Schizosaccharomyces pombe: one gene and its partner. The protein of the gene in region 1 interacts with the protein of each later gene in a pairwise test. Each region holds a gene or a part of one and is shown on either strand. Other genes may lie near its edges.

Evidence for each region.
Region 2: the proteins of saf2 (region 1) and dre4 interact in a two-hybrid assay, tested with the Schizosaccharomyces pombe proteins (one large-scale study listed by BioGRID).

What each region holds. Positions count from the first base shown.
Region 1 is NC_003424.3:3,947,994-3,955,993, forward strand, and holds saf2 (splicing-associated factor Saf2), read right to left. Parts: upstream 3,679-8,000; 5' UTR 3,523-3,678; coding exon 2,527-3,522; 3' UTR 2,403-2,526; downstream 1-2,402. Other genes in the region: plp1 (thioredoxin domain-containing protein), read right to left, coding at 1-248, 290-365, 414-500, 545-697, 742-953; qtr2 (queuine tRNA-ribosyltransferase accessory subunit Qtrtd1/Qtr2), read right to left, coding at 1,064-1,928, 2,004-2,185; P-TEFb-associated cyclin-dependent protein kinase Lsk1, read left to right, coding at 6,478-7,425, 7,472-7,562, 7,629-8,000.
Region 2 is NC_003424.3:421,526-429,768, forward strand, and holds dre4 (splicing-associated factor Dre4), read left to right. Parts: upstream 1-4,452; 5' UTR 4,453-4,504; coding exon 4,505-4,544; exon of another isoform or gene 4,545-4,580; coding exon 4,581-4,797; exon of another isoform or gene 4,798-4,838; coding exon 4,839-5,817; 3' UTR 5,818-5,890; downstream 5,891-8,243. Other genes in the region: RhoGEF Gef2, read left to right, coding at 1-1,362, 1,401-1,628, 1,674-1,782, 1,832-2,378; pre9 (proteasome core particle subunit alpha 3), read right to left, coding at 2,952-3,698; nuclear membrane protein Tht1, read left to right, coding at 6,058-6,418, 6,461-7,065, 7,128-7,793. UniProt on the Schizosaccharomyces pombe protein: Component of the spliceosome involved in mRNA processing.

The DNA of each region.
Region 1 (8,000 bases):
TTTGAAGAACTCTCTTCTTTTAATCGGTCGATTGCTGAACTCTTGAGCAACCGAAATTCTAGGAGTGAAGTTTCAAAATCATCTTTATTACCTAAATCAGCAAATCCGATAATCTTATCCACGAGCTGAGAATTTACGTAGCAAAGTACGGCTGGTAATACTTTGAGACCCAATTTGACTACCAAAAATGGAGCGTTGGCTGCTTCAATACGGATAAACTTAGTTTCCCAATGTACTTTGGCAATTTTCTGAGAATGTTAGCGTAAGCAATAAATGGAACTCCTCGTACCTCTAGATGAGAGTCTATAATTTTGCAACGTATAAAATCAGGGTGGTAAAAATGTATAACAACTTTTTTTGATGAACTAAAAAATAATTAGTTTAAAATAATCGAAGCTAATGTTTTGACATACAGCGTAAAATCCATAACTTCGCGCTCATTTTCTACAGTAAGAAACTGCATGTGTCCTTTTTCTTTTGCAGCTTCCACTCTAGCGAATCTGAACGGTTAAATTCTTAAAATCATTTTAAAGCTTTTTCTTACTCTTTTTTTAGCATCTCCAATCTCTGTTCTCGATAAGCAGTATCATCAAATTCATCCAACTGTGAAAAGAGCGCATCTTCCAATTCTGAATCACTTTCGGTTGCAGCTTGAGTAGCATACGTATCAGCGTAAAGATCAACTGTTGGGTCGTTACTAATGTCAACATTAGACATAATATGTACGCTACTGTAACCTACCTATTATGCAGTTCTGGTTCATTGTAATCCTGAGTATCCTCCTTTCTTTCAGTAACCTTCAAAGCTTCATACTCGTTGGCGATTTCCTTTTCCAAAGGAGATTTCATAGAAATCCAAGCAGGCTTGTTTTCTACAGGCTGAACGTTTGTCAAATCCATTTGATAACCACGTTTACGCGGCCCAAATCCATGGGATGCTGGAAAAGATGTCATATAAATTTCTTCAAATTTTCTAACATCTTCATCAAAGTTTCCCTCTTGTATGGAGGCGCGGATTCCTTGAAAAAAGGCAGTGAAGGCATAAACATTGTGTCTACAAATCGTTAGCTTTCTTTACCATGCTCTTTAATATAAACATACAGCTGTAAAAGTATCCAAGCAACTAGCTCTCTAGCCTGTAACAGATGCCTAACATAAGCGCGTTTGTATCTACGACATGTTTTGCAAACGCAGCCGGATTGCAATGGTTCCATGTCAGTAGCAAACCTTTCGTCCCACATATCCAAGCCAAGTTCAATTTTAGAATTCAACACATCTTTAGAAGGAGGCGGGAAAGAGAATGTAAGTGCAACACCAGCATCAGTAGCTTGTGTTATCATATCTGGAACAATAATGTCAATTCCTCTTTGAATGCATTTCAGAATTTCGAGTGGTGATTCAAATTTTTGAATACTCAGTCTTGGGAGACCAACCAAATCAGCTGGTAATGGATTGACATTGTTAGAAAATGCCAAGCCAGCAATGTTGTTAGCAAGTTGATTTTCTTGAAAAAACTGGAAAATAGGCGTAAGGTACTGAGTGTCCAGATCAGGAACAGGGAAAAATACTTTAGTAGTATTGAAAGCGTCCGTCGCTTTGAGTGCTAAAAGCAACTCAGTTGTCCAATTGACAGACCGTTCCACAATTTTTGGCTTCCTTTTGACACCAGGAGGACTAGTTGGGGTATCATTTAAAGGAATTACTAATTCAGGACAAAGCTTTAGGACAGCTTTAATATACAAGTCATTTGTCAGTTTCTTTGCACCACTTGCAGTAACGATATTAATATGACTTTGTCCTGCAGAAACAGATGGCAAAGGAGATGTTCTTCTTGGAGCAAGTAAAGTAGGTTGGACAGAGGGTGCTGCGATCCATTTTTTGATAGTTCCCTCATTAGTCAAGATTGGTGAGGCTTCCAGACGATCCAAGCTACAAACATATTAGTTAGAAATTCAAATTAAAAAAGATATGATAAAGCATTTGAGTCCTAAATTTAAACCTTACCAATCCTCCAACCCTACATAGAGAGCAGGAATATCGAATTCTTCAACATTGTCAGGTGTCAAATGAGGAACAGTTCCTCTGGAAGTAGGAAGGAAAAAGCAAGGAGTCTTCAGAACCTTGTTCTTCACCGTAACTGAAGATACGCGAGCCCCTGAAGGACTAGATAATGAAGAAATTGCCATCAATAAATCGCAAAATAAAGCTGCAAAAGTTTTGCTCTATTTACACATGTACGATATCAAAATAACGATGGTTCACTGTAGCACATTAAACGAATATTGCTATATGAATGTTTTTTAAATTTGAAAGATATTCAAACACAAAAGGTCGTCTAAACATTCGATTTATAATGTTGTAAAATAGCTTTGTTTGGATATCAGTAGTCTTACAAAACTGAAAGTTTTTAGTTAAGTAAAAAAAAAAATATCATTACATAAATTATAGTAAATTGTTTAGACTTTTTTTAAAGTTTTAAAGTAATAATAAAACATGCAAACAAGAAAGAAACAATGGAATAAAAACATTAATAACGGATAATTTTGCGACGGCGGAAGTCCTTTTCATCTGAAGCGATGTCATATAACGCTCTTCGTTTCATTTCTTTTTTCTCTTTTGTTCTTCGTTTCATTTGCTCCATCTCTTTCCTGGTATATCGCTTGTTTCTCCGTTCTGCCAGTAAACTTTGGCCATTGTGACTATTCAATGAAGAATTGATGTCAAAGTACTGTTCCATATGCTTATGTGCTTTGTTTTCTTCACTTCGCAACTCTGGTGAAGCCCATTTTGGCATAAACTTTCCAGATAGGCGATTGAACTGAACTTTCGCTGTGTAATCTAGGGGACTAGTCTGCTCTTCATCTTCTAACGGATTATTCCAGCTCGTCGTATTTGTTAAAGTGTCCCAAAAATAGTAAGCCTGTTGAGAAGGGTCCCAAATAGCGGCTATCCGATGACCCTCGGACCAAGCAATGGAAGGCTGTGCTTGGTTTTCATTTGTAGGGGAGTTAGAAGTATCATTTTTTGATGTTTCGGAAACTGTTTCGTCAGATAAAGGAGATTCTTTATGGCAATTTGTTTCAGGAACTGGTTCATTTGGTAAAGGTGGCTCCCCTGGTAATGGTTCCTCAGGAACTGGTTCATCTGGTAAAGGTGGTTCCCCTGGTAATGGTTCCTCAGGAACTGGTTCATTTGGTAAAGGCGGCTCCCTTGGCAATGGTTCCTCAGGAACTAACTCATTTAACAAGGGCTTTGATGCTTCAGAGGTTGGTTCATTTTTAGAAATACTCTCCAGATTTTCATATGTTTGAGTTGATTCAAAAGTGTTTTTAGGAGTATTTTCAGAAATAAATGAATTATCGGCATCCTCTCCAACTTGGGTATAATGTTTTCCTTGAATATTGGAGTTTTCGCTATTAGAACTGCTCGTATTCGATGAAATAAAGTCACCACTGTTCACGTTTGATGCAGGAATTGTTTGATCGACATTGCTAGTAGCTTTGCAATCTTTAGAAGACGACATTTTTTTATCAGTATGAAGAAATAATTATTATACAAAATACCGGGGACATTCAATTGCACATAACAAATAAATGGGATTTACAGCACAAAAAATAAGTACTGGAATGTAATCTAAATGGCTGAATTAAAGTAATTACAAGCAACACTATATGTTGCTGCTCTGGCGCAAGTTAACAACAAAAATTAATATTTCTGAATAACGTATCTTTGCGAAATACCACGAGTTCTAACTATATCTACTTTAAATGGATTAAGGCTCCACAGTGCGATTCAATATAACATTAATTAAAATGCACTTGGCCTGTTCATTGATGGCCAAAAAATTAAATATAATTTGGTGAATTTAACTCCTATATAAAAGTTTTGTTTTTTCAAGCCTAAGGATATCGTTGAAGCTATTGCTGTGGATTACCGATGTTAGACTAAATAATAGTTGACACCAATTCGATTTATTAACAGTTTATAAACTTTCTCCCTACATAGTCTTCTTTCTTCGATAATTACTTTAACACATATAAAATGGAATTGTAAATATACTAAACGAAACGATAAGACATAGCCAAACTATGAAGGAATTATGCATATAGCATTTGAATAAATTAAATACTGAAAGCTAAAAGAGCTGCTATAGAGTACAAACTCAGATTCTTATATCGCACCTGTGATGAATAAATGTTTGAAGAAGCGATTTTTATTAACGAAAATATAACATAATAAAAGAGCTTATTTTTTTTGCTTTGCTTTAAGATATTAGAAGTACTCTACTTTTACCCCATATTAAATGTTGAATAAGAAGATATGGTTTTCGCATTTGAAAGCACAACGTCCATGTCTTTTCGATTAAGATTCATTAAGTATTATTGGTGAATATAATTGAGTGCAAGGGACTCTCTCGCTGAATTTACCATATGCAAATATATCATAAATCCACAGAAACCAGTATAGGATGTCCGTTGAATAAGGAAAATTTTATTTAAGTCTAACTCTGATAATACGTTTTGTATGTCAGTCAATTGAATATAAGTGCAAATTTTTATTTTTTTAATGACCTATTTATTGTAATAAAATCACGTTTCTTTGTTAAAATTGCACAAATTGAGTAAGCTATATAAATATTTAGAATTGAATATATACATATGAAAGCAAACATTTGGTCGTAGGATCCTTGTACACTTGAATTTCTATGATATTTTATTATTTCATATTAATTATGCTTACGTTTTGGAATTTTTATAAAAAATTATATCGTACTGGTAGTAGCCGTTTGTACGATCATCTACCTTTTTATTTTTTAATTTCATTAAACAAATTTAATTTATTTGTTTGCATTTTTGAAAAAAAAAACTTATAAAAAATCAATTATGCTCATTTAGCTTTTTGCAATGATTTTTTTTTTTTTTAAACATTTAGTTTAACTAATGAGACTATTATTTAAACAATATTGCACCAAATTTATGTCAAAATCATCACTCTTAAAATTGAATAAACAACAGGAACAGAATTCCATGAGTTATTCATCTTGAAGCTCTTGACCTAACCTTGTTCTTTCTAAAACCAAGCATTTTTGTTTAATTTTTAAAAAAATATTATTGATTAATTTAGCTTTGCAAACAATTTGCACACAATAGATTTTGAGAGGCTGAATATGAATTTTTAATGTTTTGAAGACTGGCGTTCTACTAGAACGTCCAATGTGATAACGTTATACTTATGAAAGGATGTAAAACTTCTATATACAGTAAAATAATATATTCCCTCCTACCTTACATGTAAGGGTTGCATATTATTGATTATTTTACTTTGTATTCTTTAGACTCACGGAAAACACTAATTTATGGTAGAATATTAATTTCTCATAAATAATATTATTTTAAACGATTCAAAACTAATAGAAAAGCTCAGACTTGCCTTTATCTAGTCGACATTTGATTCCTTTGGTTTACTATCGCCAATGGCAATTTCCAAGGATCCATGCGGATTACCAGATTTATCTTCATCGCTTTTTAAAATGTTAAATATGAACTTAATATAATTCAGATGAAAAGGTTTAATCCAATAATATTATATGAATTGAGAATAACTGGTTGGACTTAGTTAATAGTTAAAAGACCATCTTAGCAAATGGGGAAGAGAAAATGGCTAAGAGTTAAGCATTGAATAAATACATTATTTACTTTGATTTCTATAAAACAAGCTGATATTCATCATAGCCTCAAATTACTTATTATTTTAAGTATGGTGTGGTAAAGGAATTGAGTCGCGCGCGTTTATTTCTATTTCTACTACACACCAACAACGAAGTTTACCTATCGCCCCTTGATTAAACTAGTGGACTTGCAAACTACTTCATTCATTGTCATAGAAGAGGAAGAACTAATTTATTTCTGTCTTTATTAAATTTCGAGATAATTGGTGTTTTTAACAATGTACATTTTGAATTGATAGATCAAAGAAATCAGGAGTGCAACTAAAAGAAAATTACGGTATATTTTTTTAAGCTGCAAGAGTTGATACTTAAAAGTATTTCCTAATTTTGTGGATACTCATATTTTGTACATTTACGTTTCAATAACATTTCTGCAACCGACTTATTCACAAATCTCTGGTTAGATTTCTCTATTGATTGAAAAGGTTTGTCTCACGTTCACCCTTCATAGTTTAGCGGTGAAAAAAATCTCCACTCTGAAAATTGTCCTTTCTTCATTTATTAGATTGCATGATTTATTTCACTGGATTTAACTAGCTTGTCTTGGCAGCTTACCTTTTATTTCCCTTGTACGATTTTTTTCCGGTGAAGTTGTATTTATTGTTACATAAAAACACATTTGGCCGTACTTTAACGATTAATTTCTTTTCTTTTATTCCCATCGAATTTTCGCTCACAGATTGCGTGTAATTCTCTTCATTGTTTAGGAATATTCCTTTTTTTATTTTTTATTTTTTTTAACCCTGTTAAATGTCATACTCGAAGAGTACAATTTATCGCCGACAAGGCACAGAACCAAATAGCCACTTTCGGCGTACCGTCGAAGAAAAGTCTCAGCTTTCTGGTACAAATGAGGAGTCTTTAGGAGGCCACACCCTGTCCTCTAATGCTTTCAAAAATAATTCATCTAGTATATCGCCATCCTCATCTGCGAAGGATCCTCGAGAACAGCGGAAAAGAACATTTCCTCTCAACGATACACATTCTTCCCGAGCAAGACAGCATGAAAGACCTTTTCGTTCTCGAAAATCTAGAAGGAGAAAGGGTAAAAAGGCATTCAGTCCTAGACCTGGCTCACCTCCATCACCTTCCTTTTACCGCTCAGGTAGTCAAAAACGAGCACGTAATTTAACTACCAAGGATTACTTTGCCAAACGCTCTGAAAGCTCTTCTAGCGCCTCCGTCTCACCTATATCACCGTCCGCAAACAGAAATGATTCAAAAAGGCAAGCTTCTTCTTTTCGAAGGTCTCCGCCTAGTTCTGTACATATGAAGCCTTCAGCTTTTAACGGTCGAAAGGTATCGCGGAGACCTTCATCTTCTCCTCCCCCTATTCCTTCTATCCCTCATGAAACTACTTCCTCCGATACACAAAAAAAATCTAGCGTGTCTTCTGGCTTTCCAGAGAACAAACATGGAAAATTTCACTTTCATATACCTAATGAACGCCGATCTCGATTCGATCAACCTCCTTCGAAACGTATGGCACTCACGTCCACGGCCCGTGAGTCTGTTCCAGCTCCTCTTCCTTCTCCTCCTTCCGGCCCAATTTATACATATACATATCCAAAGCCTGCCTATGAGAAAATCGACCAAATTGGAGAAGGAACTTATGGTAAAGTATACAAAGCCATTAACACAGTCACAGGAGATTTGGTAGCTTTAAAACGGATAAGGCTGGAGCAGGAAAAGGATGGTGTAAGTATAAAAATCAAGCTCGTAACTAAATTGACTAACTTTCTAGTTCCCTATAACTACTGTCCGTGAAGTCAAAATCTTGCAGCGTTTGCGTCACAAAAATATTGTTCGGCTATTAGAAATTATGGTGGAAAAAAGTACGATTAAATACTGTCCTCATTCACCGTTTAATTATAACTAGTTCTAACATTTTAAAATTCTAGGTTCTGTATATATGGTATTTGAGTACATGGATCACGATTTAACTGGAGTCTTACTAAATTCACAATTACATTTTACTCCCGGTAACATAAAACACCTTTCGAAGCAAATTTTTGAAGCATTAGCTTATCTTCATCATCGTGGGGTGCTTCATCGTGACATTAAAGGTTCTAATATATTACTGAATAACAATGGTGATCTAAAATTCGCAGATTTTGGTCTGGCGAGATTTAATACATCTTCGAAGTCGGCTAACTACACTAATCGCGTTATTACCCTTTGGTTTCGACCTCCAGAGCTATTACTTGGAGAAACTGCATATGACACAGCCGTGGACATATGGAGTGCTGGCTGTATTGTTATGGAGTTGTTTA
Region 2 (8,243 bases), 3.5 Mb from region 1:
CTTCAAAAATACCCAAATTTGTTGAATTCCATGACCAGGTAAAGCTTAACGCAAACATGAATGTGGGTTTGAGTCAGCTTATTATGGAACCAGTTCAAAGGATTCCACGATATTCACTATTTTTAGATCAGATTATATTATTGACACAAGAAGGAGAATGTCAACATACATACGTGCGCTCAGTTGAGATTATAAAAAATATTGCAGAAATGCCTACAGTTGATGCCGAAGAACGATCAAGGATTTTTGCTGGCTTACAACATATAATTCCTGACTTAGCACCAAACATGATATCTAACTCTCGAAATTTCATAGATTGTATTGACGTGACTAGGGAGTTTCTAAAAAACGGGCAACTGCATTTAATACCTTATACTCTAATTTTATTCAATGATCGAATTTGTCTTGTTCAAAGACGCTCCAAATCAAGTATTGCCTCAACTATATTGGATCTTCGTAAGCAAAATCCTCGCAATTCTTATTCCAAAGAAAAGCGTGCTCAATATATCGGTTCAAATATGAATGAAGCGGTTGAGTTGACAAGAAGTATGGTTGAGGAGAATACTATTTTTTTAATTTCCAAGTATGCATCTTCTCCTTCATTTTTTAATGAGTATCCTATTTTGAAGTTTCGTTGCGATTTTGAAAATGTAAGAACTATGGATAGGTTTTATCAGTCTTTTCAAAAAGCACTTTCAATGAACAAAAGCCAGCCTTCCTGCCTTAGTTTTTCAAAACTCAATGACTTTGTGGTTTTTTTTAATAACTATTCACGATTTGAGTATGAGAAAGAATCAAAACGCTCAGACATAGTATGCATATGCACCAATGATGCCAACGTTGATAAGCATAAATTTTTGCAAGACGGTAATATTGTCATTACTTTTTTTCAACAAGACGAAGATTTTCATTTAAGTTTCGATTCCTGGTTAGGTGTCAGTTTGCCTACTGAAGCTGTTATAGCTAAGGAAGACCTTAGGGAGGCTTGTCTTAATTATCTTATTAATATAAAAAGGCTTCTCCTATGCCCTTTTTCAAATAGAAATTTCTCAAGCTTGGATCTATACTCAAACCTTATACAGCATTTGCTTTCTGCTAATTCCAGCCCACGAAAAAGTAGGTTATCATTTGGAGGAAGGCCCGGAAGCCCTTCTAAAATCAGTTTATCATTGAACAGGTTTTATAATCAAGGCGGTTTATCAAAATCTTGTGCTACACTTCCTTCGCAAATGTACAATTTGGACCATAATAATATTTCACAAAAATCATTGAAGTTTAATACTCATAATACTTCGAAGGCTTCTGCTGAGAAAACTGTCGAACATCTTGAAGCTTTCAAAGGCGGATTTAAATATCATACAGGTAATATTGCAATTTGGATCATAACGTTAACTGAGCAGATTTAAAGAATTTACTATATCCACTGTCTGAAAAGGAGAAGATTGAGGGGGATGAGCTGTACGATAATATTTTGAAGGAAACTTTTAATGAAGAATTACTCTCTCATTACCCACCAAATATTATTTATGCGACCTTTCAAAAATATTTGAGCTCCTTTATCAATCGAAAATTTGGAGTTTTGCTTTCTTCTTCATTCATACAACAGTTAAATACTGTTGAAAATTTAAGTATGTATCGCTATCAAATTTGATTTTTTTTAACTAACATTGAAGATCTATCTTTCAATTCAACTGATGCAGTTTATCATTTGAAAAAAATCTTACAAGACTTACCCGAGAGTAGCCTAAAGATCCTTGAGAACATTTTTTCTATTGCTTCCGAGTAAGTCACCAAGCTTGTTTTTCAGAGGTTTTATTATCTAACGTCGTAGTTTGCTTTTGAGACTTCCTCTTAAAGATCAATGTGATTTTGTTACGAAACAACTAGCAATTGCCTTGGCTCCTTCCATGTTTGGAAGTAATGCTGTAGAACTTGTTTATTACCTTGCATACCACAGTGATCGCATTTTTGGAACAGTAGAGGAATTGCCGACTCCGGTTTCCCCTGCGAATTCCAATAATGATAAACAGTTAGATGAATCGAAATTCCAAGCAATTGCCATGAAAGAAATGCCGGAAAGACACCCTAAGGAAATTTTACCTGGTCAAATAGAACGAGAGGCATACGAGGATTTACGACGCAAATATCATCTGACTCTTGCAAGGTTGGCTCAAATGACTCGATTAAATGAAGATTCTAAAAAGTCTATCCCTCTGTTGTATGATCGCTTCAACCATGATCTTAAGCTTATAAAGCAATCAGTTCAAGCCAGTTTAATTAGAAAACAATGTGAACTAGATACCGCAAAGTGGACTCTTGAAGAGTATGAATCCAAGCTAAACGCTAAGGAAGGTTGTCAAACCAACATATTTATATAGCCAACTAGTCTATACTACATCGATTATTAGATTATTTGTTTTACTATTCCTTTTTTAGATATCAATAGTTATTTTTTTTATCCTTCAATATGTAAGTGAAAGTTAATAATACTCATCAAAAAGTTTTCTCTTATTTTTATAAATAGTATAGAATTGGAATATGCTACACCGTTTAAAATCTTCAGTTATGAAAACTAAGCATATAGTTTAGAACATATGAGAGTCATTGACATTCCATTGGAAATACTATAATTTTAAATATGCCGGAATGGTGTACTCAAGTAGAAATTGACGTTATGAAGGGAATGAGAAAGAAAGGTCTAAGTATAAAAGAAACTTGAAAAAAGCCTTTTTTAAAACGGCATAAGAATTCATAAGATAATGATTTAGCGTAGATAAAAAGAAAGCAAGCCTATATTGAGACGGAATAAGGCTCATGATGGAACTTAGTTTGCTTCAAATTGTTTACAAAAACCATGAGCTAATTACAAGGAGATTAAAGGGTAACGACGAAAGCTATAAAAAACAGCTATACACTTAAAGTGTTTTCCCAATGAATTGAGTAAGGCAATATTAAGATTGCCGCTGGGTCTCTTGGTACTTATTGAGCACTTCATTTATTTCATCTGACTTCCATATTTTGCAAACCATTTTGTTTTTCGTGGTATCCTTTGTTATTGTTGCAAATTCAATTTTTTCATGAGTTAGGGAGTTACTGTCCAACGTTTTACTCAAAAATTTCACGGCCATAGCAGAAGCCTCATCTAAGTTTATATCATCCTTATACTCCTGTCGCATTAAGCTTTGAACACTAGTACTATTTCCTCCGATACTATTTGCTTGCCAGCTTCCGTAATTTCCAGATGGATTAGATTGGAATAGCTGATATCCACGAATATGATCCCATCCAGCATATAAGAATGAAACACCGAATGGACGTAGCCCACCATACTGTGTATAACCTTGTTTGAGGTCACAAACGCGACGAACTAATTGCTCACAAGGCATCTCTTCATTAAAAGTCTGCAAGTATTGTTGCCCAACCCTTCTAGCGTAGTTAATTAGGATGTTTGCATCTGCGGTAAGCCCTGCCACAGCACATAACATATTGTCTCCTATATGATATAACTTTTCTGCGGATTCTTCTTGTTCTAATAGTTTGCTGGTAACCTTCTTTTCAGCAGCTAAAACAATTCCATCTTTAGCTACAATCCCTAAAGCAACGCCAGCATGGTTGATCGCTTCCAATGCATATTCAACCTGGTATAAACGACCTTCAGGTGAAAAAATAGTCGTGCGAGAATCGTAGCTTCTTGACATAATGAATTTGGTTGATGACAAGTTCGAAAATGCGCGAAGCACTAGATCACGAACATTAATGAGGTCTACCGAAGTGCGATTACCACACTTGCTTTATTCTTTATGTGCTTACTACACTACTATAACAGGACTGACTTTTACCTGTCTTCTAATACAATTAATCTATTATGATTTAAATTAGTATGTTGTTAATCCGCTTATTTTTACAAGCTATGCTGTACAACAAATGTCTTTATAAATGAGAGCTATTTTTACGATAATCAATTTACCTTTAGTACTTTCATATCCTCAAGATATAAAGTTATCAGTGTAGGTTGCTAATAATTAAAATCTGCTTGTAAAAATATTTGAACCAGAGGAGTCAATACTAGTGTAAAAATGTAGCTGCTTACAAATACTTCCAGCCTGCCGTTTAACGATTTACCACGAGTTATGAATTGCTCGTAAATTTATGCGGGTTGTTGTAAATTGACAATATTAAAATTGAAGTTCTCGAAAATGTTTTATTATATTGTACTTGGTAGACCATTTCATTAACTTCTTATTTGTTCTAAAGGAAATACTTGGGAAGACGCTACGTGCGGTGCTGTTATGAGGTTTTTGTAGTATATTCAATAATGTTAACTACACCTATGAATTTATGCAATTTATACAGATTTTTTTTAATAGTTTGTAGAAATTTTTTTGTAATTGACATAACTATTCAGCTGGATTTTGCAAAACTGTTCTATCTATTCTCACACACACGCCCACTGAATACTACCTAACATAGTGTCGAACTTAACTTCTTGATTGTACATATCTTAATGTCACAGCCTTTGCCTCCTGGATGGACTGAACATAAAGGTAAATTTAATGAGCAGTTTATTTGCTAACTCATAGCACCCAGTGGGATTCCTTATTACTGGAATGCCGAGTTAAAAAAAAGCACTTACCAGCGCCCAAGTTTCATTGAGAAAAACCATTCATCTTCTGTTACTGCTTCGCAAGCTTCTTTGGCGTTTAACACAAGCGAAAAGCTGTTTGTTAATGAAAATGCTGAAGAGCGCAAAAATTCTCGAGATTTGAGGAAACAATTACCGGACAGACCAAAATTCAAGTATGTGAGGCGTAAAATTTTGTTATTAACTTTTTTTTTAGAAAAAGAATTCCTAATAATGATTCATGGGTGGTTGTTTTTACTAAGAAAAATCGGTATTTCTTTCACAATTTAAAAAGCCATGAATCATATTGGGAACCTCCTTTGGAAATTAGTAAAGACTTGAAGATATTACGTCTTCCGATACGGAAGCAAATCAGTAAAGATTCCTCACAGAGTCAGAACGTTGATAGTGGTAAAACCAACCACGAAGAAATACATGAATCTAGGCATTTACAAACAGAGATTGAAGAGCCCTCTGGTTTAGAAGAATCATCGGAGGAATCCGTTTTATATTCTGAAGAATTTTATGAAAAATCTGATGAAGAAGAGGATGAGGAAAAATCACACTCCGCTGAAGAGTTGGAGTTTGGTGAGGAAGATATTATGTATCAACTTCAACAATTGGATGATGAAACAGTTTCCTATGATATACAGGAACAAGCTACAAATTTATCTACTGATGATGCTAGAAGAGTATTTACTGAACTTTTGAAGGACAAAAACATCGGGGCATACCAACCGTGGGAACTAGTTTATCCAAAGTTATTAGACGATGATCGTTTTTACGTATTAGATTCGGGAGAGAGACGAAAAGAGGTGTTTGAGGAATATTGCAAGTCGGTGGTTTCTACCAAAAAAATTACGCGTAGAAAAAATACCTTATCGGATTTTTGGACTTTGCTTCATTCACTTCCATCTACCTTGCTATGGCCTCAATTTAAACGTAAATATAGAAAGTCGTCGACTCTTCAAATTCCAGGATATTCGGAACGTGATTTTGAGAAACTTTTCCGTGAGTTTCAGATTCTACGAAAACAGCCTATGCAGGACAAACTGTTAAATTTTAAAAAGCTATGCAAGTCAAAAACTGTAGATCCTAAAAACCCCGACGAATTCACAGAAAGCATACTTAATGACACACGATATGCCGTACTGACGCGTGAAGAACTGGATTCCTTGGCTTGTTCAAGTAATTAATGAATTTTTTATTAAATAGGTGCTTAGAGAATTTCTCATTTATTAATTTATTTGGAAAAAAATTATTTTTTTTCGCGTACTCTTTTAAGCAAGTAGTTTGTCGACGGGTGAGTTTCTTTGTTTACCATCTACTACAATTATGAAATTTCATCCGACGCGTCCTTTGGGTTATATTTCGAGTTTTTTATTATTATTTCTTTTTTCTTTACTAGTGAGTCTACCGGAGATGTAGAATCATTTATGAAATATTCGAATGTGGCCTTTTCCGAGGGGTTAGCCGGTTTTGATTCTTTAGCTCACGTATATCAAGCACTCTTGAAAAAATCCACTTGCTATCAGGAAGTTGCTGCAACTTTAATTTCCAAATGTAGCTTATTGAATACTGAGTTGACTATCGATAATCGAATTCACTCAGCCATTCAAATGACTCTTTGCGATTTTGAACGGTCTCAAATTTTGGCTCCTTCAGAATGCGTTCGTGGCTCGCAAAGTGAATGTGTATCGAAGTTGGAGTCAACTTCTACCTGGTGGCTTTCATTCACTAGTCACTTTCATGATGTAAATCACTTATGCCGGTTAGCAAATCTGGAAATGCAAAAAGGTAAACTTTAAATAAACTCTAACAAACTAACAATATAACAAGAATTATCAATCGAGGTGAATATGAATGTAACTCTTGTGCAAAAGCAATTTTTGGAAATGGTAATTTTGCATTTGCGAAACTTTGAGAGCGTGACAGATAAAATGAATCAACGTATTGATAAGTTTGATGGAAAATTTAATTCAGTTATCGAAAATTCTTTCAAAGATATCAACTTTCGTGTCAACCAAGAAATTATGGGCTTAGTCGAATTGCAAAACCATCAACAGGAAGGAATGGTACAACAAAAAGAAATACTAAGTACAATCAAACAACTAAAATCGGAAATATTTGATATAAACTCCTTTTTCGCTAATTTTATTGAAGAAAGTGCTGGTTATTCCAATAGTTTAATTGAAAAATTGAATGAAAAGTTTACCTCAGAAAATGCAATTGCTCTTTCCGCTATCGGCAAATATACCAGTGAGTTCTCTGCTTTTATGGAAAAAAGGATAAAAAATTTAATTACTACAACCGAGGATTCATTACAGCAATCAGTGCAATCCAACATCGATTTTGTTAACTCAGGTTTTCAACCGTTATACGATCTTACAATTCAATTGAAAGAGGAGCTTCAATCATTGAAACGTTTATCCTCTGAGCAACAGGTTAGTTTTACTTAATGGTTTTTATATTCATCGTTATTGCTTTGTCTAACAGTACTGTATAGAATTTGCAACACGAACAGATACTTCAATGGAAGTCAGACTTCTTAAATGTCAGTAAAGATCACCTTAAGGTACTTCAACAGTTAAGGCCTCTTATTGACATTGTTGAGAAGTTTATGAATGTATATTTTAAAGGATTGTCCAACATTATTAGCAGTTTTGCTTTTATAGGCTTCACGCTGTTCGCTACCTTAAGCAGTTTATTTTTCAAAGTTTTAAAAATACATCGCCGACCGATTATTGTATTCGGCTCCTTATCAATAATCTTTATTCATATTTACTGCTTTAAGATTACCTCATGGGTGAATCTTTACGGATGGATCACTTGCACTATTGCGCGAACTCTCTCGTTTATTAAATTAAATATCCGTACTTTCTATCTGACAGCATTTTTATGTGCTTTATTAAATTTTCTGCGATATCTAAAATACCGAAATTCCAAAAAAGATACGGAGCTATCTCTTTTCCTTCCAGCACCAGAGGAGTGCAATATATATCATAATGAACATATTCAAGTTCAAGAAGACAATTATCTATGCCCAATAGAAAACTCGTTAATCGACCTCTTTGGCTCTGAAAATAATAAGGAAAAACTGGGCAAACAGGAAAATGTTAGGTTTGCTTTCCTGAATAGTGAAAGTTTGGAGCAATCTCCATGGTGGGATTAGTCATCTTTCTAATTCGAATTAATAAATTCTACATCTTAAGAATCTTTTTTACTCGTTTTCATTCACATGACATCAAAGCGTGATGTGAACGAGCATTTCGACTTAGAGCAATTACCGATACCTGTATGATATGGTAGAAAATTTTAGGCGCATAAAAAATGTCAACGTGTATGACTATGTTTGAGTTAAAACAATTGAAGATTAATCCCTATGAAATACAAAACTCCTTGTTCATTATTTCCTAAAGTGGTGAACTATTACTATCAATATTTAGAGGACATTAAGTCATTTTCATGAACAATCATGCGATACATAAATCTGAACACCTGTTCCATCACCTTCTTCAACATCAATTTATTCAACTAATTGAAATGGATTAAACTTACTAAAAATATCTTATATTCAAACTTTTTGCAAATCGTTCTCTCTGTCATCACCTTAGCAAAAACC